Lonchura striata: one gene and its partners. The protein of the gene in region 2 purifies or fractionates together with the protein of the main gene of each other region. This does not show direct contact. Links are inferred from orthologs where the notes say so. Each region holds a gene or a part of one and is shown on either strand. Other genes may lie near its edges. The genes, in order: CRCP, protein POLR1D, POLR2L and protein UXT.

Region 1 (7,159 bases), on a different chromosome or scaffold from region 2:
CTCCACAGATAGTTGAATATTTTGCTACTTTCTCCAAGTGAGCTCCTGCAGTGCAATATTTTTCCATGTACATTGTCCAAACCCCTCACAGAGTTTAGGAAACATATTCCAGCTTTCTCATCCACGGTTTTTGTTGTATTTTCCTCACTTAAACTGACCCTCTTGTTTGTTTTCTACTGTTCTCTCAGTTCTACAACTTATCCCCTTTTCCTTTTTCCACTGGGAAACTGAAACAGTTCTCGATTCTTTTGCAGTCCTATTCCTTCCTCTTGTGAAATCCCTCGCTTTTACCACCTTTCTTGTCTTTTCCACCTTTTCAAAATGTCCTTTCCTTACTCTGGGCTTTGACAGGAGATCGCCAATATGCTGTGAAAACATTAAGCACTGGGTTTATAACTAGAGTGAGTGGGTGTAAATAAGATTTTGCTAGCCTGTGTCTGATATTACATGTGACAGGGGATATTCCATCCACATGGGATCTGTCAGCAATGCCACTGTGGATTTAGCAAACTTCCCAGGGATTAGTTGGTTTGGAGTGCTCTGCACAGCTCCTGCCCCAGTGTGTATCTAGGAAATGATGAATTCTCTCTTTATTGTTAGATCAAACAGGCAATAATTATGTTTTCTGTATAACAAGCAATGTAGGATGTAGATTAATATATTCATAATGAGTGTGGAATTAAAACAAAATAAAAGCAGAATTCCTCAACTTAAAAATGAACATTGAAGAAATAGGATTTCTTAAGGATGCTTAGAGTTGGAGAGTTGAACTTTGTTGAAGGGAAAACAGTAAAATAGCAATGCAAAATATACTTTCTAATGCAAACTGAATTGTATTCTCATTACTGTCTTCTCCATTTGCTCTGTTTTGGATGTCTCTCCACTTCCCATCACTGCCTCTCAGTGATTTATTTGAAACAGAAAGATTAACCTCAAAATCCCCATCCCACAGTTAATACTGGGGAGGTTCTGAAGGAAAAGTCTCTCTCTTATTTTCCTTTCTGGCACAGGGCATGGCAAATCATTCCTACCTCAATATTCCCAGCTTCACCCTTTTCAAGGTGAAAATAAGTACTGGAGGGTAAATTGCCAATTCTGCAGAACAGAGAAGTTTAATTAAATATATTTGGATGTTCTCAAATATCTGAACTTTATTTGTACTTCTATAGTCCATCAGTCTCTCTCTACTATTTCACTTTTTTTGCTGAAAGAGTGCAATGCTGAAGGAGTGCAGCTCCAAAGGAGCTTTGGTGACTCTGGAAATCCACTTTTCACAACAGGACTGTGAAGGAAAAGGATAGCTGAAACAGCTACAGTGCACCTTCTTTTAAAAACATTATTTTTTTCAGCTGTCTTTTGCTTTGGAGAAAGAAAACAGCTCCATGGGCTGAACGTGCCATGCAAACGCACTGTCAGCTCACCTGACACGGAGCCCTGCTGACATATTTTTGTTCAAAAAAACCCTACCTTTGTTTTTAACTCATTTTTCAATGAAAAAAGGAAAAAAAAAAAAAAGGTGGAAAAAAAAAGAAAAAAATAGAAACCGTAGGGTGCTGAGCAAAATGCTGAACGCAGTAAACATCTTTCATGACAAAGAACACAAATACCCTGCAGATCTGCTGGCAATAGCAAGTCCTGGGCCCCCTGCTTTCAACAGTTAATACTGAGGCCCCTCTCTGCCCAAGCCTTGCTGGTAACAATCACAATGTTAAAATGTTGACATGCTAAGCACATTTGGGAAAAAAACCCATGTCTGCATTCCCTATGGATGGTGTAGCATCACTGTCTAACACCTAAAGAGCAGCAATTAAAACCAAAGTGACCTTCTCACCTCACCCCCTGCCCCGCTGGTTCTCTCTTGATATTCCCTTTCATGATGGAGCTGAGCCATATTTGTATTTACAGCCTGCCAGGCTTCCTGTCTCCGCTGGGAAATGTTTAGGAAGTCTCTATTAGGGAAAAAAAAATGCTGTTGGAAGAGGTGTCGTGCTCCCTCATCCCCAGGTGGGTTGTAAAATGCAGCACTGATTGGAAAAATGTGTCAGGAAAGTGAAATTTTGGGGAAGGGGTGGAAAGAAATGTGTCAGGAAATCAAAATTTTGGGGGAGGGGTGGAAAAAACATGTCAGGAAAGCAAAATTTTGAGGAAAAGGTGGAAAAAACGTGTCAGGAAAGTGAAATTTTGTGGAATGGATGGGAAAAACATGTCAGGAAAGTGAAATTTTGGGGAAAGGGAGGAAAAAACATGTCAGGAAAGCAAAAATTTGAGGAAAAGGGTGGAAAAACATGTCAGGAAAGGAAAATTTTGAGGAAAAGGTGGAAAAAATGTGTCAGGAAAGCGAAATTTTGGTGAAAGCGTGGAAAAAACATGTCAGAAAAGTGAAATTTTGGGGAAAGGGAGGAAAAAACATGTCAGGAAAGTGAATTTCTTGGGGAAATGCAGAAAAATGTGTCAGGAAAGGGAAATTTTGTGGAAAGGGTGGGAAAAACATGTTAGGAAAATGAAATTTTGGGAAAAGGGAGGAAAAAATATGTGAGGAAAGCAAAATTTTGAGGAAAAGGTGGAAAAATGAGTCAGGGAAGTGAAATTTTGACAAAAAGGTAGGAAAAATGTCAGGAAAGTGAAATTTTGAGGCAAATGTAGAAAAAAACATGTCAGGAAAGTGAAATTTTGAGGAAAAGGTGGAAATAAATACAATAATTTGCTGCTGGGGGAGAGATGTAAAGAGATGTAAAGGACACTTAAGATAATTGTGCTGAAGGTTCTGAACCTTTAGCTGCAGAGGGTGGTGAGAGGCAGACAAGGATTGACAGATTTCTGGAATGAAACCCTGAAATTTGATTGTCTGGAAATACAGTATTTTCACATGAAACCTGCCATCTTTTCCCTTCTTTCAGGCAGCTGCACGTGGAGGGTTTGGGACATGGCAGAGCAGCCACAGAATTTTTACTGTGCCAGTTTTGGCCAACTTACAAGGCCAGTTAATCCTGACATGAAAAAGGGCATCATCCATCACATCCTGTGCTCTGAATCACACAGCAGCTCTCAGACTTCTCTCCTGGCTCTTTTTTTATTCCACAGGACTCCACAATAAGTTATTTTGAAATATAAATAAATTTCTATCCGTGTGTGGTGGGGCGCACATGCCCACCAAAACTTTTTTTTAGGCGTTTTCAAATTAAAAGGGCTGAAAAGCCTTTGCAGTTGGCTTTTAAATTTTGTCCAGCACTTTTATATTTGGTGATGGAAATTCCTGGAAAACTGGGAGCTGCTCCTTTCCAGCTGTCCTGGCACTGCAGACTGTTCCTAAAGCACCACAGTTTGCTCGTGTTACTCTGAATTAGTTTAGGATTTGCAATACCCCAAGGAGAGGAAAAGCCTTAATTTTGTCTGGTTTAGTCGTGGAGAAAACAGTGGCTGGTGGGTTTTGTGCTGGAATTGCAAGGCAGAGGTTGCAGGCACAAGGTTGACTCATTCAGTTCCCTAAATCCCTAAAAGTCCCTTAAATCCCAGCTGCAAGCAAGCAAATACATCTGTATGACACTCCTTAGGGAGTTAGAGGTGCTGCATCTGGATATAAAATTTTCCCTGAGAGATAATATCAAAATTAAGGAATTCTATTTCCCTGGCCAGGTAATTTTCCTTGCGGTTTCCATCAGGATTTTTAGCTGTTTGCACTCATTGAAATGAAGATGGTTTTACTGAGGATGAAAAGAGCTCTTGGAAAATTTAACAGCACATGGTTTAGACGGGAAAGAGTCACGGTGACAGCTGGGGAAGGAACGGTGCTGATAAATTGGATGGATGCATCGAAAAACAACAGGAGTATTGCAAAAACACTTCAGCCCTGCAGCACATGGCTAAAGATTTGATTAAAAATATTTTCGCGTTACTGTTTTGCCTTGGTCACAGTTAACAGCGGCTAATTGCCAATTTGAGTAATTTCGGAGACAAATGACAATTTTCTGACTGATGTATGCACAAAGGCCGTGATAAAAAGTCGTCTCTCATCGCCGGCATTGGTGGTTCAGTGGTAGAATTCTCGCCTGCCACGCGGGAGGCCCGGGTTCGATTCCCGGCCAATGCAGCTGATATTTTCCGGTTTTTCTTGTTTTATTTATTTATTTCTTTTAAGTTCCTTATTTCTCCTTCCGCTTCCGTGTCGGCCGCCAAATCCTCCTTCAGCTCCACGGGGCCTCGGCCGGCTGCTCCCCCGCCGTGCCCCGCCGGGCTGCGGCTGCCCCGGGGGAGCGGGAGGATCCTCGGGGAGGCCGCGCCGGGAGGACGAGATGGAGGTGTAAGGACCGGCCTGAGGGGGGCACGGGGGAGGACAAATGGAGGTGTAAGGACCGGCCTGAGGGGGGCACGGGGGAGGACAAATGGAGGTGTAAGGACCGGCCTGAGGGGGGCACGGGGGAGGACAAATGGAGGTGTAAGGACCGGCCTGAGGGGGGCACGGGGGAGGACAAATGGAGCTGTAAGGAAGGGTGTGAGGGGAGGACAGCGGGGCTGCGGGGCACCTCAGTGGGGTTTGTGTGGGGAAAAATCTCCGTGCGGCTGCATCTCCATGGGAGTGGGGTGTGTGTGGGCACATCTGTATGATTTATTAAAAAATCTGGATATTGATCTAGTACCGATGTCCAGCTGTGATGGACAAACACTCTCTAACAGTTTAAAGTTAGACAGTGTGTGTTTATTGTGTGCGGGATTGCTCCCAGATACACACCGCAGCTTCCAAGTGATTACAGCGCCCTTTTATCCGTATTGAATACCCAAAATACAAATCCATATTAATCATTTTGGTACATCCCATTCCTCACTTCCTATGCTAATAATTTCAAAAGCCATTCAGCATGCTTGGTTTGTTCCTTGAAATGGGTCGGTGTCCCTTCCATGGGGAGGGGTCCCAAAACGAGGAAGTAAATGAAGTCTTCATCTTCCTCGTTCTGACCTTTCTACCTTTTCAATGCAAATATGACAAATTAACTCTTGGTGGAACTCCCATTCCTTGTCTTCAATTGGTTTCAGAACAGAGTGGGCCGCAATTGTCTTATGTTCCTAAAAGCTATTTGTCAATTTATATTCTTCATTATAAACCAGCTAACTAAACATTGTGCTGACAAGCAATCAATTATTAACTACTAACTCTTTAACTTCTACTAATCTATTTAATTAACTCTAGTAAGGCTTATCTCTAACTAAAATCTTAGCTCCTCTAAAATCTCTAAATTCCTTAAAATTTACATTTCAAATCCGTGAGGGGTGTGAGGGTACTGTGAATCTGTGATGTGAAAAACACCAATCACTTGGTTTTTAAAATTTTGAAAGTTTAATAATAATAAAATGGTTATAAAAATAGTAATATAATTAGAGTAATAAAATTTAGAGTTAGGACAATTACAAGGCAATAAAAAGCAAAGAATTACAGACGTCCAGATGCTCTTGGACGCTAAGTCATGAAAAGCATCCCTTGTGAAGAAAGGAATAACCTTAAAAGCAACAGCCTGATGCATATTCATATATCTCATACATGAGATACATAAATTCTTCGTAAATTAAAACTTTTTGGTTTTGTCAACTTCTTCTCCTTAATCCTGTTGGTTCCACAAAGATGGAGAGAAGGTGGAAGAATTTTTGTCTTTTCTGATAAGGAGGCTGTAACTTTTTATGGGCCCCCTTCGCTGACATCTCTGTGTGATGAGTTTATTGATTATCTGATCTTCCTGCTTGAGATTGTAACAAATCCTATATCACAGAGTTTCTATTTTAACATTATGTTGTAAGCTAAAACTACATTTAGCACACTACTTAAGAGAATTAATACAGCATAACTTTCTAACATTACACATATAATATTCATTTGCAGAAAGCCAATCATAAAATATGCATTTTTCACACGTGAGGGATGTGAGGGTACAGCTCCCAGCAATAAGTTCAGGTGTTCTGCTCAATGTCAGAGGGGTTTATTTTATTAAAACTCCTGCTGGACAAGCTGTTGGGGTGAAAGGTGGTGTGGCTCAGCCTGGCTCGCTCTTTTCGCCTCCTGTCTCCTCCCTCTGCCCTGCAAGAGGCAAAATGAGATTTTTTCATTATTCCCATGAGCTTTGTGTAGGAGCTGGAAATGCTGGAGAAGGATAAAACCTGCGGGGTTTGTGCCAGCCACTGCAAGCACAATAAGAGAGTCAGAATTTTGGCTGGTGGCTCTTTCAGGCCTTCTTACTGTGTGTTTCAGGTACAAAGCAATAGGATTTGACCTGTTTTGACACTTAAAATCTCACGAGTTCTGTGGAGCTGGTTAAATTTCTAGTTTTCATTTAATTTTAATTTCTCTAATGGGTGGGGGCATTAATGGGATGTGTCTCCCAAAATCACTGAGCTTCTGCAGCCCTGTAGTCCAGGGATGCTTTATTATCATGAAATCTTCTCTACTGTGAACATGAAAATCAAAATTTGATAAAAAATATGAAACATCTGCTGAAGTACAGTGAAGTGCAGTCTTAATGTGAGTAGCAGCCGGCAGAGAAATGATCTGTTCTGGCTGTTGTACACTAAGAAAAATGCTTTTACCATTTATAAAAAAATCTGTGATGCTTCTTACACATCCACTGAGTTTTTATTAATCTTCTTTTGCCTCCTGCCTGATTTGGAAGGGAAGCTTTGCAATTCTCTAAGTTCTTACTGTGGATTTTTCTTACCAGAATTATTCTGTATTTCTTACCAGAATTATCTGTTATTAGAGAAAAGAACTCTCAGAAAACAGTGTGGTTTAAATATACAACACATGTGAAACAGCAGACTTAAAATATGGATGTCAGTGATTTTTGTAAAGATGTGATGCCCTTTACCAAGGTATTTTTTGATATATTCAGCCCTACTCAAGAGTATTTTGGTTTAGGCTAAAATTTGGGCAAATACGAGCTCTTTAAAGACTCTAAAAAGTGTTTATATTTTTGCTGTTACCATGAAAATTTTCACCTTTCTGCTTAAGTCTTAATCACATAAAAATTAAGCAAAGTGTTGAGCTGACTGCTTAAAAATAGACATTAGAATCCATTACTCAGATTTCTTTGTTTCCTGACTGTAAAATTGGGAGCTGCGAGTCAGGACAGAAGGAAATTTCATTTCTATTGCAAATGCTGATCAATTTATAATTTTGGCA
Region 2 (7,613 bases):
TATGGACACACAGTATAACAAAGCCACTTCCTCTGTATTTGAAGAGAAACAACGCATCTTCTGTGCTTCAAACATACAGAACCACAATGGCAATACTTTAGGAAGTAGAGGGGGAAGAAAGATTTCATTTTTTATGCAGGAATGAAAATGGTGACCTACATAATATCTCAGTGTATATTTAGTTGAAATAAACTAGGAAAAGCAGTTTCAGGTGCTTGCAGAGGAAAGAAAGTGAACAGCTCCTACTAGCTGATTCCCTTTTTCCACCTCCTTCTTACATCATAACTTCAAATACCATTAATCATATGCTAACATAATTTAGAATTTTCTTAAGAATCACATGGAACCTTAAGGCTCAGGGTCTTCACTGATGTACCAGCAAGTTCACAGGGGAAAATCTTAGTTCATACTTCTTCCATCAGAGGTTACTGGGTGAGATGGAGTAGAGGATGTAGTTCAGTAGAATGTAGCAAATATTACTGTTTTACACATCTGTGGTATTTATAGCTTTTAGAGTTTTAAAACCCACAGACTGTTGCATTCTGTATGCAACAGTCACACAGGAACTTATAAGTACTCAGCTTCGAGGAAAACCTCACTTCATATTAAAGTGAGGAAAACATCAAAAGCAAGATCAAGTGAGAGTCAGAAACAGTAAAACTGAAAAATAATATTGGGAAATGTGGCAGTAAGGATAAAAATAAAAGAAGCTAGAAGAAAAGACTTCTTAGTAACAAAAATATAGGGCGATTGACTTAACAGATCACTTTTTGGAATACTGGGACACAAAATTAATTTCTGACCTGAAAAAGCATGCACAAAAATATTACGCTTCTTTCTCCCTCATGGTTAATTAAATAAAAAGCACATGTACAAAAACCTTGAATTTTTATTTAAGTCTGCATTGCAAGACAAGCCTGGATTCAGAGACAGACTTCTCAAAATATTCCACATAAACCCATTTTTGAACACTAAAAATGCACTAAAGGAATTAATACTATGGCTACAGAACAGAAACACTATTATTTGTATGTTAAACCCATAATACAAAACCCTTAAAAATTATAAGCCTAAACTGCCATTACTACACTATTCACAGGATGATATGATCAGTATGTTATTGAGTATGAATCTAAGACATAACATCTGTAACACAAAGGATAAAGAAAGATCTCTGTTAGACTGGAAGGGCTCTGTACTGAAGACTGTACAGTGAAGCACTATTTAGAGTGCCAAAGTACACCCTCTAAATGCACACAGCACAAACTGAATTCAGTTCAGGGTGCTACTATCAAAGTAAGCTGTCATGAAAACTTAAGGTATGAAAAAGTAACTGATGATAGGTGGATCGAGGACAGGAAGAGCCAATTGTCAAGTGCACTACACTGTAGTTATAATGTGTTTGGGGCCGACTAAACACCCTCTGAGGTGCACAGTGACACAGATTGGTGACACCAAACAGCTAAACCCTACCGTGCCACTTCGACAAGTGACACTGAGCTTCATCCTCATTATTTACCACACTGCCACAGAACAGGAATAGCAAATCCTAACTTGGAGTGAGCCTTTGAGGAAGGTAAAACTTCAAATGTAGTTTCTGGGAAGAAGAGCATCAGTCAGGAGGTGGCTGTGGAGCAGCTGGCTACAGCTGGTGAGGTCAGCTATGCCCTGAACTGCCCAGAGAACCCCAGGCCCCCAGCACGGCAGCAGCAACCAGAAGACAGCATGGAAGAACAGTGGCATGGTTTCAACTTGCCATGAATGAAAAAGGTTTAAGTTTAGAATGGCACTAGTAAAAATAACATTCATGCATACACCAAAAGAAGCTTTAATTATTAAACTAATGATCTGAGAACAGAAACAGCTCAGCAAGAATTAAAAGCCTCTTAGAAAGCATTAAGCGCTCTAGCCCTTCCACTGTCTCAGTACTATTGCTTTTGGCACATTTCAAATACCTGCCAGATACAAATAGAAAAAAGTTATTTTCGGTAAGCATTCCCAGATACGGTTTCTTAAAAGTTAAAGGAGAGAACCATGAGAACAGTTCAGAAAGCTTCTGGTCATCACTTCACTGTAACAGTTGTTTTAAACAGCCGTAAGGAAAATGAACAACCCAGAAATAAGCTTGCAAAAACAAATTCCCATCAAACAAATAGCACTGTTTTGCAAAACATTTGTGATATAAACACCAAAAGTCTATTCCTAAAACAAAAGCAAGAGAGGCCTACTTTGAGTATCCTAATATGGAAATCAATGTTTTATTCCTCAGTGTTTGCTTGAGAGCACTGCAACTCAAAACGTGCAGCAAGACAAATCCACTGGTTCCAACGAAATGCCAAATAGAAAACAGTTTTAGTTTTTGACAAAATAACTACCAACCATTTTGTATTTTTCTCATACAAGAACACGACAATTCTAACAACTAGTCAAAGGGCACAACTGAAAATTGAAATCTCTAACAACACAAGGTGTTTTGGGATTTTTAAAATTTATTTTGCCAAGTCCACAACTCATCAAATTGTAGCTAATGAGGGGTGAACCATCCAAGACCTTCCAATCCTGTTTCTAAGCGACATCAGCACGCACCCAAAGCTCTGTGCGGAAGACACGGCAGAGGCAGCCCCAGGCCGCGCTGCCCTCGGGGCGCGCCCTGGCCGCACGCCCACAGGAGGGGCTGTCTGCGGGCAGCGGGCAGAGCCCGGCGGAGCTCGGGGCCGGTTCTGCGGAGCGCTCGGGCCGGGGGAGCCGGCCGGCCGCAGCCCCGCGCTGCCCGGGCCCCGCGGCGCGGGAGGCGCTGCCGGGCCCGGAGCGGCGCAGCAGCCGCGTGGAGGCCGCTCGCTCTCGAGACCGCTCCCCGCGCTGTCGCTCCCCCCTACCTCTCCAGCTCCGGGTCCTCCTCCATGGCTGCCCCACCGCTCCCCGCTGCGGCTCCTCAGGGGCAGGCCGGCGCCATCACCCGCGGTCGGCCGGGGGGCGTGGCAGCGGGGCGGGCGTAGGGGCCGGCGAGGACCCCGGCGGGAGGAGCCGGGGCGGGGCGAGCCGGGCCCCGCCACACCCCGCCGGGCACCTGCGGCACCGGTGGTCGCGCCCCCCGCCAAAAGGAGAGCGGGGCGGTGGGCTCCCTGGCGGGCAGGACCCCCGTGCCCCGCCGGCAGGGCGGGGGAAGCAGGCGCGGGGCGGTGACTGAGTGTGGGAGGGTGGGAGCGCCGCTGGGGCTCTCAGTCTCGGAGACGCCCTGGGTTTGCTCCTTGGGCGCGGCCGCAGGGCTCGGGCAGGCGGGGACAGGTCCGCGGGCAGCCCCGGGCGGGCAGCGCCCCACCCGGCCCCTCCTCCGCGCCGGCCCCGCCCGCGCTCCCCACCGCTCCGGGCTCCGCACAGCCGATCAGGCGAGCGGCGGGGACACCCCGGCCCCGGGCTCCAGCGCGTCCCGCCCCGGCCCCGCTGCCATAGGCTGCGGTTCGGCCGGCCCCGCGCCCGGGGCCGCCGCCGGAGTGGCGGAGCGCCGCTGTCACTTGGGCCGCGCCGCTGCCCGCGGCGGGGGGCGGAGGCGGGAGCACCGGCCCGGCCCGGCCCGACGAGACACGTTCTCCAAGTGCTGCTGCCCGGAGTTTGCTTCCCCTAAGGCGGGGCGGGCGCAGCCGGCGCGGCTGAGGAGGAGAGCGCTGCGCGGAGCCGGCGCGGTGAGTAACTCCCCTGCCCCGCGCGGTGCCGGGCGCTCAGCCCCGCTCAGCCTCCTTCAGCCGAGCGGCACCGGGGGTCTCCGCGGGGGCGGCGGCGCCGGGCTGAGCTCTGCGCAGGCAACAAGTACGGGAGTGGGCAGAGCTCCGGAGCCGCCGTGCTGAGGTGGCTGAGGCTGAGGTGGGATCCTCGGAGCAGCGTCCCCGCCCTGGAGCCCCCGGCTCGGCGGCGGGGCTGAGCCCGGCGGCCCCTGCAGCGCGTCTCTGCGAGGCTGAGCTGTGAGCTCGGGTGCTGGAGACCCACTTGGAAAGCGCCTGGTTCTGGGTCCCCCGATACACCTATGCTGCTCTCGTGTGGCTTCATTAAAGAAGCTCTTTCTTGGAGAGGAGTCAGATTTCTGCGTGCGGGGGAGGCAGAGAACAGCTGCGAGCGAACCCCTGCTGCAGGAGCGGGTTTCAGGTTGTGTGTTTTACAGCTGCGCCAGAGGAACTCGGGGCTGCCTGCGAAATGCCGCTGAGTCCGTGTGGTTGGCAGCTGTTTCCAAACGTTCACGCTAGCCCTCGGAGCTCTGACCCGCACTCCCTGGTTTGTCCCCTCATTTGTTAGCTCTTAGCACTGAAAATGTGGTTAGAAAAGTTTTCGTCTTTTATACTTTTAACAAGGCGTACTTTAAAATTACCATTGCTCTTGATGGAATCATAGTACTTGGTCAACTAACTGAGAAAACCGTTCCTGGAGCTCTGGTGGGGGTGAATCTGGTAGTCCCTGGTGACTTTTCTTACTGTGTTCATAATGCACAGTACTGATTGTTTGCTTCTCTAGAAATCTATTAAGTACTTCTGAGCTTCCTTTAATTCCTCTTTTAATTACATGATTTAGGGGTTTGGTTTTTGTCTGTGTGCAGAGTAAAAAATGTCTGTGACAGATTAGCTTTGGACTACATTTGATAGTCTCTGGAAATAAATTTCCAATCATAAGTACTTTTAAACTTATATTCAAAATAAGAACTGGTCTGAACTGTGCTCTCATTAGATAAAGACTTTGAATTACTCATTTTTTTATTCCTCTACCCACTTCTTCTGGCTTTGTAATGCTTTATTCTAAGCTGCAATCCAGCTCAAGGAGGCTTAGGAAGAAACATCAGATGAAGAAACATCAGATGGTTTTGGTTAGTGTCCCTTCCACTTGGAAAATAAACATGTTAGTACCATATGCTGCCCTGTCTTTATTAAAACAAATTTCCTTAAAATGGAAGCAAGTTATATCAGTGTACTTGCTAGAACTGTAAGACTAAATAGGAGTCCTTTATAATTATTCTTTTTTTCTAATTATCAGATATCTAAGGAATCCTCTCTCCTGAACACAGTACAATATAAAATTATTAACTCCAGAGTCATCAGGCTGCAAATAACACTACTGTGCCCAAGTAGATTTTTTTAAATAAAAAAGGTCATAATATTATGTTTTAAAGTGCTTGTTCTGTTGCAATTTGAAAATGTATGGATCTTAAAACTCATAATTTTGCCATGAGTTTTCAGTTCTGAATTTCTAACTATACTTACCCTTTACATTGCTTGGTGACTTCAGGATGAGGGAGCCCAGGGCCTTGGACTCAGGTCTGAGATTTGCAAAGGTAGTACCTTTTCCTAAGACTGCACCTGAATTTTCTGTTACCAAAACAATAAAAAATGTGGCAGTTTAGGGACAAAACTTTGCAAGAGGAATGTAAGCAGGTGATTGGGTGGAAAAATACTGTTCTCCTGAGATGGGTTAAAAAATAAGCTTACTAAAACCTGTCCTGCCAAAAATGGTGGCTTTGGCATTGCAACATTTGGCATTTGTTTATTATGTGCTACCATGGAAGCACTAATCACCTCAGTGAAAGTTTCTTTTTTTGTAAGCCTTTACCCATACTGAGCGGTCTCAATCTTGGTATATATTTATGGATATATATTTTAGTAATATATTTATATTACGAAAAAACAGCAGAAGTTTGTTAGCTACCAGTTAAAACTATGTCTGAAAATATGCCAAAATACCCCCCTCTTATTTAATCTCATTTTTCTGTACTTCTAAAAAAAAGTTAATATATTTGAAAGCAACTGGGAAGAAGTTATACCAGCAATATCAAAGTGAAATGTGTACTAGATGTTAAATAAATACAAATTATTGCCTTGCATCAGCAAAATGTTGTTTGTTTAAAGAGCTACTAGACACGAACGGCTGTAACTAATGAGAAAACAACATTTATTTCGTGTTAAAATGCTCCCTGGTGTAAAAGGCACCAGAGGAAGCTGGTTGTCTATTTGATATGGCAGTGGCTTCTCTGGTATTTGGAAATTCTTTGTTGATTTGGTTTGCAGAAGCATTTTTAATGTGACGCCATTGACTTGCATGCTGTTTAATTGCTTTATTAGGTCAGTGGAGTTTGTCCTTTAGAAATTCTAGTGCCTTTTGAAGATGAAAATGCTTTAAAATATTAGTATTAAGTTATATAATTGATAGGTTAAGGTATCTATGGAGCAGTAAAAATTAATAATATTATGGAGTGTACTTTTTGTGTTCTTTTTGTTCAAATTCTGTAGATATTTATGCTTGCATATGCTTGATTTTAAACATCCAGATAGTTCTTTTGCAATGAGGCTTAATGATAAGCCTGCATGTAAGTGTTTTCGGGATTTATGTTTGCTAAATTCATGGGCTGAACCTGTCATGTGTTTTCATACTGACTACTCTGTATTCTGTATGAGATAGTGTAGGTGGCTGATGGGGCTGGGCTGCACCTTGATGACACATGTGGAGATGTCCCCAGCCCCAGTGTTGTGTTACAGGGGGTCTCGGTGCTGTACCTGACCTGGCTTCATTCTTGCAATGTGCTCTGCAGTACTACAGGCATGTCTTTTGTTTCTGAAGCACTTTGGTGGTACCAGAGATGTCAGTCATTTATGTTCTCATGGGTGCTTATTTCAGCTGATGTCAGTTCAGCAAATAATTTGCGGGCTGGAACAGGGGCAGAATCTCTTGCAGAGTCTTTCCTGCTGAGCTGTGTGTTAGGTGGTGGACACAAAACCCAAAGCATGCAGCTGTTTGATATAAAGTCAGATAACTTGTGAATGTACAAGATTTCAAATTGGTTTGCATTTTTTCCATTCAAATAATGGAAACTATTTTTGATGTGGAAACTTGGGGTTATATAGCTCAATATTTGCAGTCTCATTTTTGCTTCAAGTAAGCAAGTTGATATTGCTCTGGAGTTGTGGCATGTTGTTAAGAGTGTCTAGAATTTTCTCACTGTCATCACAATAAACCAGATCAAATATTAGATTATAAATGAGTCAGATCAATGTTATATGGAAGGTAATTTTACCCAGGAAGAGTTGGTTAACTTTGGGATGGAGTGATAGATGTTCTGTTTTGCCTGGCTGTTTTTCCTTTGTTCCACAGAGAGAAATCATTGAGTCATCACGGAATGGTTTGGGTAGAGAGGGACCTTACAGATCATCTAGTTTCAATCCCCCTAGGAAGGAACACCCGCCACTGGACCAGGTTTCTCAAAGCCTCATTTTGGAGGATGTGATCTTTGAATATTAACCAGCTTTCTGGGGCTCCTCTTCCCTCAAGGCCGCTATCCCATGATTCTCAATCAAGCAGATCCCTGGAGAGGCCAGTCTGCTCTCCTGAAGCCTGGGGTACAGAGCCTGCTGTGCTCCCTGCTTGCTGCCTTAAGGTCCTCAAACTCCACCATTCCAAGGTCACTGCAGCCAAGGCTATGGACTAGCTTCACGTTCTGTACCAGACCCTCTTTGTTGGTGACAACAATGTTCAGCATAGCACCTCTTCTTGTTGGCTCTTCTGTCACTTGGAAGAGGAAGTGGTTTCTATTTATTGGAGAGATTTGACACAATCACTGGATGGACTATACAGGATTTTTCAGA
Region 3 (7,575 bases), on a different chromosome or scaffold from region 2:
GGCATCTCTATTAACGAACAACAATTAAAAAACATAACAGATGAAGTGAGTCAGAACTACTTGTAAGCGTTTCCTAAGCAACACACTGATTACTTTGAGCTCAGTCATAGAGGAAAATTTGTTTGCAGTTCAAAGACAGACAGAAATTCAGCATGTGCTGTTAATGCCCTTTTCCATTTAAGTGTTGTTGAGTGTGTTTGCCCATTCTCCAGCCGGCCAGAGCACATCATCTGCTGCTGAGAAGGGTCCCCAGCTGCCACTGCTTTCAGAGGGCACTGTTTTAACATGTTTCTGTAAACTGAGGATGATTCTTGTCTATTTCACAAGATAAATTTAAGATCTGAGCCACACTAAAAAGGTGAGATATACAGAAACTAAAATAACTCGGAAGGCAACCTCCCCCATATAGGGATGTTAATTCTGAGGATGGCTACAATCCTTTCCAGCTCCCATGGGAGAAGGCACTCAGTTATACAACCTGCCCCCCACATACATACAAGTAAGTAGGTGCAGACTGGTCAGAAATCAGTGTTTTACTGAATTCCACTGAATTCCTTTGGAGTGACTGCTCCAGATTCTTCTGTTTGGGTAGAGGATGTTGAGTCATCCTAGCCCGAACCAATGTGGGTGTTTTCCATGGCTGTGGCTATCAGACTCTTAAAGGTCACGATACCACCACGATCTTTAGCTGCAACCTATGAACCATAAATCCAGTCTGATACTCCTTCAGAATGTGACATTTGCGAGACATGACTGATCTCAGGTTTATATGATGATACTGATATAATGCAGTGCAATAAAGCGTTTGCTCAAAACAAACTTAATTTCCTGGAACTCATAATTCTCCTGTAGGAATAGGCCAATGGATACTTTTCTAAAATACAAATGACTGAAAGGAAGCCTCTGCCTAAGCTGGACCATGGTAAAGTGTTGTTTGGCTTCAAGCAGTACAGGCTAACTGCAGGAGCCAACTTCCAGCAGCTTCTCTGATGTCACTCAGTCCTTGCAACTGTTGATGGTGCAGCAGGGCTGCTCGCTCTAGGACAGCACCTGCAAAACTTGTTTTAGAGGAGTATAACAACACTGTGGGGCATTTTAAAGAATGTTTATAAATAACATCACATGATGTAACAGTTTTCCAAAACACTTGAGAAGAAAAGCATCTGATGTCTGTTGATAGGTAAATTTTAAAAGCTATCTGGAGAGTTCTGAAGTCTCATATGCAGTTATCAGGGATGCAAAATACTAACATTAATCACAATTTCCAAAGGCATAAGACAACTTTAGTTGCATTTGCCTTTTCTTCCAGCTTCCAAGGACTTGTGGAAAAGAGCACTTTTAAGGGACAAACAGAAAGGCGTGGATGTCTTTTTCAACTACTGATTCTTTAGACAAGTTTTCCCATTTTGTCCATCCATTTCTTAAGCCACCATTACCAGTGATTCCAGTACTGCACTGTAAGATTTTAGTTGTTTGATCTCTGTAAACTCTACTTCTTACAACACCATAATTGCATTAGTTTGAACAAGCATCCCAGAATCAAGCCAGTGACCACAACAATTGCTTTCAAGTGAGCATTTGTCAACGACAACACAGAACTCCTATACAAAAGCAGAGGAATAATAAAGATAGGGAAAATATTAAAATGTAATGCCTAGAATATATGTCAGAAGCTCTATCAAAAAAGCCCTGGTAAACTGTAGTAGGAGTAAAAAAAAAAAACAACCCATGGTATTGTAATGCTTTTAACCCCATATATGAAATAAACTTACCTGTAAAACTGTTAGGATCCCCAACCACTTGAATGCAAACCAAATTATTTGCTTTCTACTTAACATCTACTTTCTACTTCAACATCACGTAAATTTCTCTTTCACTCCTCTGAGCTGCAAACATCCATGGGTATTTTTTTCTGTTTCATACTTGATGAAAATGTAAGTATTTCTCAAGTTTTATTCTCAAAGCTCCTGAGGTAGTGTCAGGATAGTTAAAACTCTCCTTGAACTATTAGCAGAAACTGGCTATGCAAAGGATGCACAGACTTCTTACCACAGAGTTGTTAGGACTATCAGTAGGGTATCTAAAGTGGTTAAATCTTCTTTCTCCAGCAAATCAATACTTAAAAATAAGGTTAGCATCCCTGGATTAAAATGCTTAAAAAAAAAACAAACAACCCCAACAACTAAAACCGCTAAACATTTCTTACACTTCTTTTTCTTCTCTCCCTTTAAGAAACTGATCACGTTGGTGTCAAAATTGGGTATATCAAAGGGGAAGGGAAGAAACAAGGAAATGTGCACAGAGTTACATATTTGGGAACATTTTGGAGACTGAGCAACTTCCACACTGCTGCTCTGAAAGATACAGTGGAGAAATAAGTACTCGGTTGCCTACTGCAATTTCTAACCTTTGGTTATACAACCTCAGAATGTACCTGTAGTTTTTAGCCTCCCTACGTCTCTTTTATGACGCCGCGACCCTGCACTCGTGCCTGTGGCCCTGCCTTGGCAGGGAGGTTGGGGGAGATGATCTGCAGCACGTCTGGGACCTTATGCACCGCGTACCTCACACAGGCCGCGAGTCCAGCAACACAGAGCAAACTCACCCTTCCGTGTACTCCGCCTGCAGGAGGCCAAGGTAGGCTTCCCACTTGTTCCCCACTATCTTGCCGCACGTGAAGCACCGGACCGGGATGATCATTTCTGCGCCGTGGCTGCAACGACACCAACCCCGCCTCAGACCCCGCCGGAGCCCCGGACACCGCGCTCCGCCGCCGCGCTGAGGCTGCGCTGCCCGCGCCGCCACGCACGGCCCGGCGGCGGCTCTGGGCTGCAGGGCCCGGGCCCGGGGGCTCCCTCAGGTGAGCGGCCGATCCCGATCCCGATCCCGATCCCGATCCCGATCCCGGGCCCGCGCGCAGCTCACCCCGCGCGCCTCCTCCGCTGCCGATGGCCGCCGGCCGCCACCACCGCGCCCGGCCGGGGGAAACCGCGCCGCCGCCGGCCGGCCCGACGCGGCGGGCGGGCGGGTTGAGCGGCCCTACTCCCCCCTTGTGCACTTGATGGTAGCGGCCCGCGGTACGGCGTCCCCGGCGGCCCAAGAGAGCGAGCGCGCGCGCGCGCGCGCGCGGGGGGGGGCGGGCTCGCGGCGGCGCCGGGCGCGCGGCGCGGTGAGTGGCAGCCGGGGCGCCCCGAGCGCTGAGCGGCGGCACCGCGACCGCCCCCGCGCCGCCTCCTCCCGCCGCGCCCCGGCGGGCACTTGTTGCATTGCGAGAGGGCTTCGGCAGCGGGCGGACTTCTCATCCCGTCCTGGCTGAGGTACCGCAGCGGGAAGCGCAACTGGTGGCTGCGGCGCGGCAGCCGCCCGCCCGCTCCGGCGGAGGGGTGAAGGGTGAAGGGTGGGCATCCCGGCGGGCAGGGCTGACGGGGAGCCGGGGCGCCCCGCGGCAGCCCCGCCGGCGCGGCGTGTCCTTCGCTCCCCCGGGGCAGGGGAACGGGGGGCGGTGGGACCCGCCGCTGGAGCCGCGTCGCGACCCGGTCAGCGCAGCATCGCGGAGCCGCGTCGCTCGGGGCTGCTTGCCCGCGGCTCGGCGGCTCCCGCGGGCGGGAGGCGGCGGCACAGCCCGCTCCCGGCGCTGCGGGCTGCTCGCGGCTCCGCGCAGCCCGGACAGGCGCTGTCTCCCTGACGGCACTCGCCCCCGAGCCCCGGCCGAGCTGCGGGCGCTGCGCTGGCTGCGGGGTTGCCGAGAGTTTCCAAACTCCGCGGCCAGCCGGGACGCGGCGCCGTCCCGTTATCCCGGGGTGCTGCTCGCCCTGCTGAGAGCCGTGCGCCGCTCGGTTCCCAGCGGTGCGCGCTGCCCCGGTGCCGCCTGCTGCCGCGGCAGTGCCCGCAGCGGGGGCAGCTCTCGGCTCGGGGCACAGGCAGCGGCTGGCCGGGGCAGCGCGGCCGGTCCCGCTGGGCACCCGCGCCGGGCAGCTCTGGCGGCAGAGGATCGTGCATCTCGAAACTGCTTTACTCGCTTTTCATTAATCTAAGCATTGGGGAAGCATTAGGCACGGGCTGTGTGTGCTCAGCGGAGGGAAGCGTGCTGTGATGGGTACAAAGTTTGGGGACGGGCACCGCTGTTCTGGAGGCTCTGGGATGAAGCATTCCTCTGTCAATCCTTATTGCTCTCTCGTTTCAGCGTTAGCGTTATGCTAATTGTCCTTGGGAGAGCAGAAATTCTCCCAAAGTGATGTTATTTTCCAGCTAAAGTATCTGTGAGTTGATACAATGCACAGCGCAGAGCCATTAATGTCAGGCATATAAATAATTGTGTCTTAATGCACAGCTTATGTTAATACGTCTTTCGTGACTATTTTTTGAACGACTGGATTATTGACCCTCTGCACAGAAATGCCAGACCTAACATGAACCGTAAAAGAGCAAATAGTTTTGTTTTAATAAATAAGGACTTGAGGTTGAAAGCATTTTTACAATTCTATTGCTAGTGAAAAGACAGTAATTTTTGCAGTCTCAGGAATAATTATGCGCAGTTGTGAATGGAGCGAATTGACTTGGCATGGAGGGTAGATCAACCTCCTGCGATCTCTAGATTATGATCATTATTGTTATTGTAGGCCAGTGGGAGCAAAACCGTGTCTTTCCTTTTTATCCTTTCATTTCTTTCGGGGGCTGGAGGGGGTGGGGAGTTGAGAATTTGAAGATTGTGCTTTGATGCATTTTCAGTACCAGGGCTCCAAAGTAATTTTCTTACTGAACTGTGTGGTAAAAGGCATTTGTGTTTAGAGATGGAAATTTGCAATTGAGAGTGAGAAAGAGGAGCTGGAGCTCGGCTTCATAGCTGAGCCACATCATTAGATATAGGTTAGCATTTTATAGCTGCCTTGTAGAAATGTGCTCGCTTATTTCTTAAAAACAAAACTGAACTTAAACTTTTGGACCTAGTTCACATATCTCACTTTGCCTAGCGTCTTTTTTTTCAAAGCAAAATGTACTTGGCTTGTTTGCACGCCATTACTTTAACTTTGTCATGTCTTTTCTGGGTAACCTGCTTTGGCTGGGTGAGGGACCTAATGAACTAATAGGCCTTTCATGGCTGTAGCTGCTTTGATCCTAGAAATTGTAAAGATTTTTATGAACTATAACCTGGAGAGAGACTGCTACATACCAAAAACATTCTCTGCTTAACTTCATATATCCTCTGCTTAATCTGACCATTTGCCAAGCTGCAGAAGTCTGTTTAGAAGAGCTGTGGGGGAATGTGCACACATGTGACTGTTTGGGAATTAGTCAGTGTTTTATGGGCTGCTAGCTCACGCTGATTAGGAGGACTGCAGCTTGAGCCATTTGTGGCATTGTCAGCTTTCCACTCTTGTTCAGGTGAGCTGAGTACTGATGGCACTCAGCTGTTAGTGTTTAGTGAAATTTGATCTCTTCAGCCATCCTTTTGAAGAGGGCGGAAAGAATTCAAGAACTGGGTCTCTTTAAGCATCCTTTGAAGAATTGCAAGTATTGAAGTCCCAGCTCTTAGAACGAGAAGTACAACTCTTTCTCACAGTAAGTTCTTACCACATTTCTGGTCTCTTGCCACCTTCAATAAGTAGCAGTCCTCAAACTGCTGATTCTTTGGGCCTTCAGGCAGTCTGCTGGTCAGAAAACCCACTGCAGCCTCATCAGCATTAAGCAGAAGAGACTGCCCTGGAATTAATCGAGTTGAAGAAAGCTTGAGAACTGTGGGCTGCTTTCTTGATGTGCAGCTGGAGCAGCTTGAGCAGCTTCTGTCACGTGGATTTGTTGTGAGGCAGTGTAGATAATGCACCCGCCTTCTTCCTGTGATCTGAACAACTTCTGAAAGCTGACAATGTTCTGACCCACTGTCACTGTTGGGATGAGGCTCCTTCTTGGCAGTTTTTGGTGGATTGAGATCTGTAAAATGCAGCTAGGCATCGCTGCTCCATGGCATTGTTAGTGATGTGCACTTTAAATCCTAGGCTGGTGATTAAGGAGTAGACCCTGCTTCCTGTTCTCCCATCCACGAAATGCGAGGGAAAATATTGCTGCTTGTTTAAAAAACAAACAGAAATGAAGTCAGTTAAGTGACCCGGCGGATTGAACTACTCCTAAAATACTTCTGTAGCTAGAGTGGCCATATGACCTCCTGCAGCTCATGCTGGCAAATTGTGTCTTTTCTGACCTTGTCTCTGTAATTAGGGCTGGAGGAAAGACTTGTGAGATCTCTGCACTTGCACTGGTAGCATGAGAAACTGTTAGCTAAAAGGTATTTTTTACTCTGTTGGCTGCAGAAGGTCCGGTTTAGGTGCGCACCCTCACGGGTCTGGAAAATTTTGACCTTTACTACTTTTCACCTCCTGTTGTTGTTCCTCTTCTTCTGACTTTGCTTATTTTGTGTACATGCAGATAATGACCAGAACTGACGACTTGGGTCTTTTAAGACCTGACTTGCCAATGGTATTCAAGGGTAGTGAATTGTTATTTAAATATAGGACTTTTTATGACAACTTCTCTGTGAAGGATTGTTTTAGTGCTATTGATCATGATGCAGACTTCTATAAAGCTGTGAGTAGCCCTATTGGCCCTGCTTGGAGTTAAAAGCTCTCTTGTCTGTTGCTCCCTGTGGTTATTTAGAGAAAGAATGTTGACAATTTTCTCTTCATTTCCAACTAACACTCATAATCCTGTGCACAATGGCAGAAGTACCATATTCAGTGTTTTACTCCTTGAGGATTCCAACGAGGCCAGAGAGGGAAGAATCCTAAGAGACAGGCTCACATGAATTGTGAAATGAGTGGTTAAATAGGACATTAGTCAGGAGCTGAAATGTGACATGGAAAGTTCAATGTATATAAGTAATTTGCATGGCAGTAGCGAGTCAGACAAGAGGGAAAGATACAAAATCAAATATGCAGGATGAAGCTTGGCTGTTACTTTTTCAGGCACATTTTCCCCTCCAAGTTTGCTAAATCCTGCAGACGTACTCCTGGGCTTTCTTTAGCCCTGGTTAACTACTCAGAAATGTGTAGTTCGTCCTTTTCCACAAAAGGTGAAGGAAAGTGGTTCTCTCTGGAGCTAGCTAGGGTGTCTTTGGAAGTCCTCCTTTCCCCTCTAAAAAATGAAGGCTTAAGGAGCAAAGAGTGGGATGGAATATAGATTTGTTTTCTCCTTGATTATTTTTAAAGTATTTTTTTAGTGAGTGACTTTCTTCCCTTAGCTCCACAGTGCTATTGGGTGTAGTGACGTGATGGTGGGGAGGTGGAGAAGGCCAAGGAAAGGCAGGGATGATGGAAGCAGGAAAGACTTATCTGCTCTGTAGAGCTTTGCATTGTTGGTTGCCCCACACAATGTGTAAGAGCTGCTCAGCCCCTGGATTTAGTGAAACAAATACTGAAGCTGCTAAGCAAGGAGAAATGAGGAGAAATCTCTCTAAGCTGGGGATGTGACTGCAGCTCTGCTGTAATACCACACAAGCCTGATGCTGCTGATTTCATTAAAAGCATCATTCAGGGCCTCAAAGCAGGTTTTAATACTTGCTATATGTTTTTTTAAATATGCTGA
Region 4 (7,766 bases), on a different chromosome or scaffold from region 2:
CGACATCTTAGCACATCTGGGGCTCACCTGGGGCACACTTTGGGCACCTGGGGCACACCTGGGGCACACCTGGGGCACACCTGGGGCACCTGTGGCGCACCTGAGCCCCGCCCGGCCGTGCCCCCCGCAGGTGCTGGGCTCGTGGCTGCCGCTGCTGGGCCCGGGCGCGGCCGAGGACCAGGCGCAGATCGTGGAGCTGGTGCTGGAGCGGATGCGGGAGGAGCTGCCCCGCCCCCGCAGCCCCTCCCCCGCCCGGCCACGCCCACAGGTACCCGCCCCTCCCCCACCTCCCCCTCCAGGTGCGCCCCCGGACCCCTCCCCAAAATTGAGCCCCGCCCTCCTTCCTGCAGGTGTCGGCGACATCGGGGACCCCCCGGCCGGGGACCCCCCCCCAGCAGAGACCCCAGCCCCAGGGTGAGTGACCCCGCCCCCCCACCCCAAAAAAATGGGCGGGGCCTCCTTCCCCTCCCCCGCCCCAAAAAATCCTCGGAGCTGTCAAAAACCCGGGGGAGCCTCCAGAATTCGGGGATTTGCGTCCTGGAATTGTTCAGGATTTGTTTTTGCTCAAAATGTGACAATTTCCACTAAAAAGGGGGAAAATCGGGGGTTCCCCAAAAATCCTCCTCAGGTTTGCCCCAAATCCTAAAAGTCAAAATCATTCCTAAAAACTCCCAGACGCGCAAATTTTGGGGAGCTCCTCCCTCCCCGGGGATGCCCTTCCAGGGCTGCCCCGCCCCAAATTTGGGGGGTTTTGCCCCAAATTGGGGCTGTGCCTGCCTCAGGCCCCGCCCCCTCAGGTGTTTCTCTCCCTTCCAGGTGCGCCGCCCCCGTCCGGCCCCGCCCAGCCCCGCCCCCAGCCGCAGGGGCAGCCCCGCCCACAAATGGGAGGAGCTTCGGCCCGCCCCGCCCAGCCCCGCCCACAAACCCCGCCCAGCCCGGCTCAGCCCCGCCCACAAACCCCGCCCGGCTCGCCACAGCCACACCCGCAAGCCACGCCCACCGCGCAGCCACGCCCACAAGCCACGCCCACCGCGCAGCCACGCCCACAAGCCACGCCCACCGCGCAGCCACGCCCACAAGCACCGCCCACTGCGCAGCCACGCCCACAAGCCACGCCCACCTCTCAGCCACGCCCACCCCTGGCTGCCTCGGCAGCTCAGCCCCGCCCACCCAGCCCGCAGCCCCGCCCACCGACCTCGCCCACGTCTCAGCCCCGCCCTCAAGCCCCGCCCACCGCACAGCCACGCCCACCCGGCCCAGCCGCGTCCCCTCAGCCCCGCCCACAAGCCCCGCCCACTTCGCAGCCACGCCCACAAGCCCCGCCCACCTCCCCTCAGCCACGCCCACAAGCCCCGCCCACCTCCCCTCAGCCACGCCCACAAGGACCGCCATCACCTCAGCCCCGCCCACAAGCCCCGCCCACTTCGCAGCCCCGCCCTCAAGCCACGCCCACCTCCTCTCAGCCACGCCCCCAAGCCCCGCCCACCTCGCCCCAGCCCCGCCTCCAGCGCTCCCCCTCTGTTCCCCAGCCCCGCCCCCCCGGTCCCCAAGCCCCGCCCACCCCCGCCTCGCCCCGCCCCCCCGGCCCCCAGGCCCCGCCCACCACCCGCCAGCCCCGCCCCCAGGCCCCGCCCCTCGCCCCCAAACCGGCGCTGGCCCCCAAACCGGGCGGGGCCCCTCCCCCCAGGTAAGTGGGTGGGGCTGGGGGGGAGGGGCGAGGGGCGAGGCCACGCCCCCTCCCCCCCTGAACCCCCAAATTCCGCAGCCCCGCCCCCGAGCAGGGCCCCCCCGAGAGCCTGCGGGCGCTGCGGCAGAGCTTCGCCAGCCTCTTCGAGTGACCCCGACACCGGGACCCCAAAATACCGGGGGGACCCCAAAATACCGGGGGGGACCCCAAAAATACCGGGGGGAACCCAAAAGATACCCGGGGGGAACCAGCAATACCCGGGGCTAACCCAAAATACCGGGGGAACCCCAAAAATACCGGGGGGACCCCAAAAATACCCGGGGGGACCCCAAAATACCCGGGGGGACCCCAAAATTACCCGGGGGGACCCCAAAAATACCGGGGGGACCCCAAAATACCCCGGGGGACCCCAAAAATACCGGGGGGAACCCAAAAATACCTGGGGGGAACCCAAAATACCGGGGGGGACCCCAAAAATACCGGGGGGACCCCAAAATACCCGGGGGGAACCCAAAATACCGGGGGGGACCCCAAAAATACAGGGGGGAACCCAAAAATACCGGGGGGACCCCAAAATACCCGGGGGGACCCCAAAAATATCTGGGGGTAACCCAAAATACCGGGGGGGACCCCAAAAATACCGGGGGGACCCCAAAATACCCGGGGGGAACCAGAAATACCCGGGGGAGCCCAAAATACCCGGGGGAACCCCAAAAATACCGGGGGGACCCCAAAATACCCGGGGGACCCCAAAATATTCGGGGGGACCCCAAAATACCGGGGGGACCCCAAAATACCGGGGGGAACCCAGGAATAGCCGGGGGGAGCCCAAAAATACCGGGGGGACCCAAAAAATACCGGGGGGACCCCAATAATACCTGGGGGGGACTGCAGAAATACCCGGGGGGACCCCAAAAATACCTTGGGAACCCAAAAATCCCACCCGGGGGACCCCAAAAATACCTGGGGGGACCCCCTGGTGTTCAGGACCCCCCAAAATCCCCCCAGGGATCCCCAAATTCCCCCCAGGATCCCTCAGAATCTGCCCAGGATCCCCCAAAATCCCCCCAGGGATCTTCAAAATCCTCCCGGGCGTGCCAGGACTTCAGCACCCCCCCCAAATCCCCCCAGCACCCCCCAAAATCCCCCCGGGACCCCCCAAATCCACCCAGGATCTCAAAATCCGCCCGGGGCCCCCCCCAAATCCACCCAGGACCCCCCAAAATCCCCCCGGGACCCCCCAAATCCACCCAGGATCCCCAAAATCCCCCCGGGGACCCCCCCCAAATCCACCCAGGATCCCCAAAATCCCCCCGGGGACCCCCCAAATCCACCCAGGATCCCCAAAATCCCCCCCGGGACCCCTCAAATCCCCTCAGGACCCCCCAAAATCCCCCAGGGACCCCGCAAAATTCCCCCAGGATACCAAAATCCCCCCCGGGACCCCCCAAATCCACCCAGGATCCCCAAAATCCGCCCGGGGACCCCCCCAAATCCACCCAGGACCCCCCAAAATCCCCCCGGGACCCCCCCAAATCCACCCAGGATCCCAAAATCCCCCCCGGGACCCCTCAAATCCCCCCCAGGACCCCCCAAAATCCCCCGGGGATCCCCTCCCCCCCCGCTCTGTGTTTGCCAATCCCCAGCCCCCGCCCCCCCAAATTGAGGGGGGGGTGTCTCTCCGCGCGTGCTCGTGAGTGTGTAAGCCCCGCCCCCCGCTTGGCCACGCCCCCTCGGCCACGCCCCGCTTAGCCCCGCCCCTTTCCGCCCGCGTGGGCGGGGCCAATAAATCCCCGAGCTGCTGGCGCTGGGTGGCTCCGGTGGGGGGGGACCGGGGGACCCCAAAATTTGGGGAGATGGGGTGGGGGAGGCACCTGGGGCACACCTGGGCACACCTGGGCACACTGGGGCACAGCTGGGCACACCTGGGCACACCTGGGCACACTTGGGCACACTGGGGCACAGCTGGGCACACTTGGGCACACCTGGGGACACCTCAGACATAGCTGGGCACACCTGGGGCACATCTGGAGAGTGCTGGGCACACCTGGGGCACAGCTGGGGAACACTTGGGGACACCTGGGCATACCTCAGACACACCTGAGGGCAACCCTGGGCACACCTGGGGGTGCCTGAGGGCACAGCTGGAGAGTGCTGGGGCACACCTGGGCACACCTGGAGATACCCGGGCACATCTGGGGACGCTCAGGGACACCCGGGGAGTGCTGGGCACACCTGGGGACACCTGGGCACACCTGGGGACACCCGGGCACACCTGAGGGCGACCCTGGGCACACCTGGGGGTGCCTGAGGGCACAGCTGGGACACACCTGGAGAGTGCCAGGGCACACCTGGGCGCACCTGGAGGTACCCGGGCACATCTGGGGACACTCGGGGACACCTGGGGAGTGCTGGGCACACCTGGGGCACACCTGGGCACACCTGGGGACACTTGGGGACACCTGGGGACACCCGGGCACACGTGGGGCACACCTGGGGCATAGCTGTGGGTGCCTGAGGACACAGCTGGGCACACTTCGGGACACCTGAGCACAGCTGGGGCACACCTGGACACACCTGGGGGTACCCGGGCTCACCTGGGTGCCCTTGAGGACAGCTGGGCACACCTGGGGCACACCTGGGCCACACTTGAGCACACATGGGGCACACCTGGGCCACACGGGCACACCTGGGCCACACCTGGGGCACACCTGGGGACACCTGGGCACACCTGGGGCAGGCTCGGGGCACACCTGGGGCACACCCGGGCACACCTGGGCACACTTGGGCACACCTGGGCACACTTGGGCACACCTGGGCACACTTGGGCACACCTGGGGCACACATGGGCCACACCCGGGCACACTTGGGCACACCTGGGGACACTTGGGCACACATGGGGCACACCCGGGGCAGGCTCGGGGCACAGGTCGCGGCGCTCCGGCTGCTCTCCCGCCGATTGCGCGGCGGCCATGTCGCGACATAGGGGCGGGGTTGGGGGGGGGGAGGAGCCCGGGTCCTCCCGGCCGCCAGGGGGCGCCCGGCGGCGCGCGGCGCTGACGCAGTTCCGGCGCCGCCGTCAGAGGCGGCATGGCGGCGGCGGCGGCGGGGAAGGCGCAGCGCTACGAGGCGTTCGTCAGCGACGTCCTGCAGCGGGACCTCAGGTGGGAGGCGGCGTGTCGCGACATCACCGCGACATCGCCGCGACATCGCCGCGACATCGCCGCGGGGCTGCGGCCGCGCCCCCCCCGCCCCGGCCCCGCTCATTCATCAAACCCGCGCGCCGCGGCCACGCCCATTCCGCGGCCACGCCCCCCGCGGGGTCGGCGCCGTGGCCACGCCCCCTCCCCGTTAACGCCGCAGTGCGGAATTCCCGCGCGCCCTGGCCACGCCCACGCGCGCCATGGCCACGCCCACGCGCGCCCTGGCCACGCCCACGCGCGCCCTGGCCACGCCCATCTAAGGGTCAGGGCGGGATTTCGTTTCGCCTCGAGGCCACGCCCATTCTGAAGCCACGCCCCCAAGTCAACCCCACCCATTCACAATGATGCCACGCCCATTTGATGATCACGCCCATCTATAAATAATTTCCATTCAGCTTGAGGCCACGCCCATTTTATGGCCACGCCCTTGCATAAATATTTTCCATTCAGCTTGAGGCCACGCCCATTTTATGGCCACGCCCTTGCATAAATAATTTCAATTCAGCTTGAGGCCACGCCCACTTTATGGCCACGCCCTTGCATAAACAATTTCCACTCAGCTTGAGGCCACGCCCATTTTATGGCCACGCCCTTGCATAAATAATTTCCATTCAGCTTGAGGCCACACCCATTTTATGACCACGCCTTTGCATAAATAATTTCCATTCAGCTTGAGGCCACGCCCATTTTATGGCCACGCCCTTGCATAAATCCTCGCCTTTTTTGAGGCCACGCCTATTTCACATCCACACCCCGCATAAACCCCACCTATTCACCTCTAGGCCACGCCCATTTTATGGCCACACCCTTGCATAAATAATTTCCATTCAGCTTTAGGCCACGCCCATTTCATAACCACGCCTTGGCATAAATTTTGCCTTTTGCTTTGAGGCCACGCCCATTTTGTGACCACGCCCCTACCTAAATGCCTTCTATTCACCACGACGCCACGCCCATTTTATGGCCACGCCCTCATCAGCACCACCCATTCACAATGATGCCACGCCCATTTTATGGCCACACCCTTGCATGAATAATTTCCATTCAACTTGAGGCCACGCCCATTTTATGGCCACGCCTTGGCATAAATTTTGCCTTTCGCTTTGAGGCCACGCCCATTTTTGGCTACACCTTTATCAGCCCCACCCACTCACAATGATGCCACGCCCATTTTACGATCACGCCCTTGCATAAATAATTTCCATTCAGCTTTAGGCCACGCCCATTTTATGGCCACGCCTTTGCATAAATTTTGCCTTTCGCTTTGAGGCCACGCCCATTTTATGGCCATGGCTTTGCATAAATTTTGCCTTTCGCTTTGAGGCCACGCCCATTTTATGGCCACGGCTTTGCATAAATTTTTCCCTTTCACTTTGAGGCCACGCCCATTTTTGGCCACACCCCCATCAACTCCACCCATTCACCACGAAGTCACGCCCATTCACGACCACACCCTCCACATGATGACCACGCCCATTCACAAAAACCACGCCCACTCCCACACCCACCATTAACCTCGCGGCGCGGCCACGCCCCCCGGGCGAGGCCACGCCCCCTGAGCAGCGCCCCCCGCAGGCGGGTGCAGGAGCAGCGCGACGCCGTCTTCGAGCAGCAGGCGCAGGTGCTGCAGCTGCGCGCCGCCCTCGCCCGCCTGCAGGTGCGGGGGGCGTGGCCTGGGGAGGGGCCTGGATGGGAATTTGGGGGGCTTGGAGGGGGTTTTAGGGGGGTATCGGGGTGTTTCCGGGAGGGTGCGGGGGATTTCTGGGAGCCTCGTGGGGAGTTTTGGGAGGAATTGGGGGGGAATTGGGGAATATCGGGGGGATTTAGGGGTTATGGGGGGTACTGTGGGGGAATTGGGGAATATCGGGGGGATTTAGGGGTTATGGGGGGTACTGTGGGGGAATTGGGGAATATCGGGGGGATTTAGGGGTTATTGGGGGTCCTGTGAGGGAATTGGGGAATATCGGGGGGATTTAGGGGTTATTGAGGGTCCTGTGGGGGAATTGGGGAATATCGGGGGGATTTAGGGGTTATTGAGGGTCCTGTGAGGGAATTGGGGAATATCGGGGGGATTTAGGGGTTATTGAGGGTCCTGTGAGGGAATTGGGGAATATCGGGGGGATTTAGGGGTTATTGAGGGTCCTGTGAGGGAATTGGGGAATATCGGGGGGATTTAGGGGTTATTGGGGGTCCTGTGGGGGAATTGAGGAATATCGGGGGGATTTAGGGGTTATTGAGGGTCTTGTGAGGGAGGGACTGGGGGTCTCTGGGTAGATTTGGGGTCCCCAGTGGTGTTTGGGGGTTGGGATTTGGGGTCCCTGGGGGTGTTTGGGGTTCTCCAGGTGTGTTTGGGGCTCTCTGTGTGACCCCGGGGGTCCCGGGGGGTTTTGGGGTCCCCAGGACGTCGACGCCCCCCTGCACACCCAGGTGGATCTCGGCTGCAATTTCTTCGTCAGTGCTGAAGTGTGAGTGGGGCTGGCACCCCGAAAACCTCCTCAGACCCTCAAAAACCTCCTCAGACCCCCAAAAACCTCCTCAGAACCCCCGAAAACCTCCTCAGACCCCCAAAAACCTTCTAAGACCCCCCAAAACCCTCCTCAGACCCCCCAAAAACTTCCTCAGACACCCCAAAAGTCTCCTCAGACACCCCAAAAGTCTCCTCAGACTCCCAAAAACCTCCTGAGAACCCCAAAATAACTCCTCAGACCCTCCAAAAACCTGCTCAGACCCCGAAAAACCTCCTCAGAACCCCAAAAACCTTCTCAGACCCCCCCAAAAACCTTCTCAGACCCTCCAAAAACTTCCTCAGACACTGAAAAACCTCCTCAGCCCCCCCAAAAACCTTTTCAGAGCTCCAAAAACCTCCTCAGACTCCC

What was found.
Region 1: the proteins of protein POLR1D (region 2) and CRCP purify together in Homo sapiens (affinity purification with mass spectrometry; 5 studies listed by BioGRID and IntAct, with this or other methods). This does not show direct contact. The link is inferred for Lonchura striata from reciprocal best matches to the Homo sapiens genes POLR1D and CRCP.
Region 3: the proteins of protein POLR1D (region 2) and POLR2L purify together in Homo sapiens (affinity purification with mass spectrometry; 4 studies listed by BioGRID and IntAct, with this or other methods). This does not show direct contact. The link is inferred for Lonchura striata from reciprocal best matches to the Homo sapiens genes POLR1D and POLR2L.
Region 4: the proteins of protein POLR1D (region 2) and protein UXT purify together in Homo sapiens (affinity purification with mass spectrometry; 3 studies listed by BioGRID and IntAct, with this or other methods). This does not show direct contact. The link is inferred for Lonchura striata from reciprocal best matches to the Homo sapiens genes POLR1D and UXT.

What each region holds. Positions count from the first base shown.
Region 1 is NC_134622.1:6,502,750-6,509,908, forward strand, and holds the start of CRCP (DNA-directed RNA polymerase III subunit RPC9), read left to right. Parts: upstream 1-4,151; 5' UTR 4,152-4,289; coding exon 4,290-4,297; intron 4,298-7,159. UniProt on the Homo sapiens protein: DNA-dependent RNA polymerase catalyzes the transcription of DNA into RNA using the four ribonucleoside triphosphates as substrates.
Region 2 is NC_134604.1:69,173,876-69,181,488, forward strand, and holds the start of protein POLR1D, read right to left. Parts: upstream 3,008-7,613; 5' UTR 2,903-3,007; coding exon 2,877-2,902; intron 1-2,876.
Region 3 is NC_134608.1:44,947,144-44,954,718, forward strand, and holds the start of POLR2L (DNA-directed RNA polymerases I, II, and III subunit RPABC5), read right to left. Parts: upstream 3,001-7,575; 5' UTR 2,926-3,000; intron 2,714-2,925; 5' UTR 2,701-2,713; coding exon 2,606-2,700; intron 8-2,605; coding exon 1-7. UniProt on the Homo sapiens protein: DNA-dependent RNA polymerase catalyzes the transcription of DNA into RNA using the four ribonucleoside triphosphates as substrates.
Region 4 is NC_134638.1:954,279-962,044, forward strand, and holds the start of protein UXT, read left to right. Parts: upstream 1-4,764; 5' UTR 4,765-4,777; coding exon 4,778-4,851; intron 4,852-6,465; coding exon 6,466-6,547; intron 6,548-7,290; coding exon 7,291-7,355; intron 7,356-7,766. Other genes in the region: uncharacterized protein LOC110481730, read left to right, coding at 131-268, 331-414, 817-1,625, 1,766-1,838. UniProt on the Homo sapiens protein: Involved in gene transcription regulation. Acts in concert with the corepressor URI1 to regulate androgen receptor AR-mediated transcription. Together with URI1, associates with chromatin to the NKX3-1 promoter region.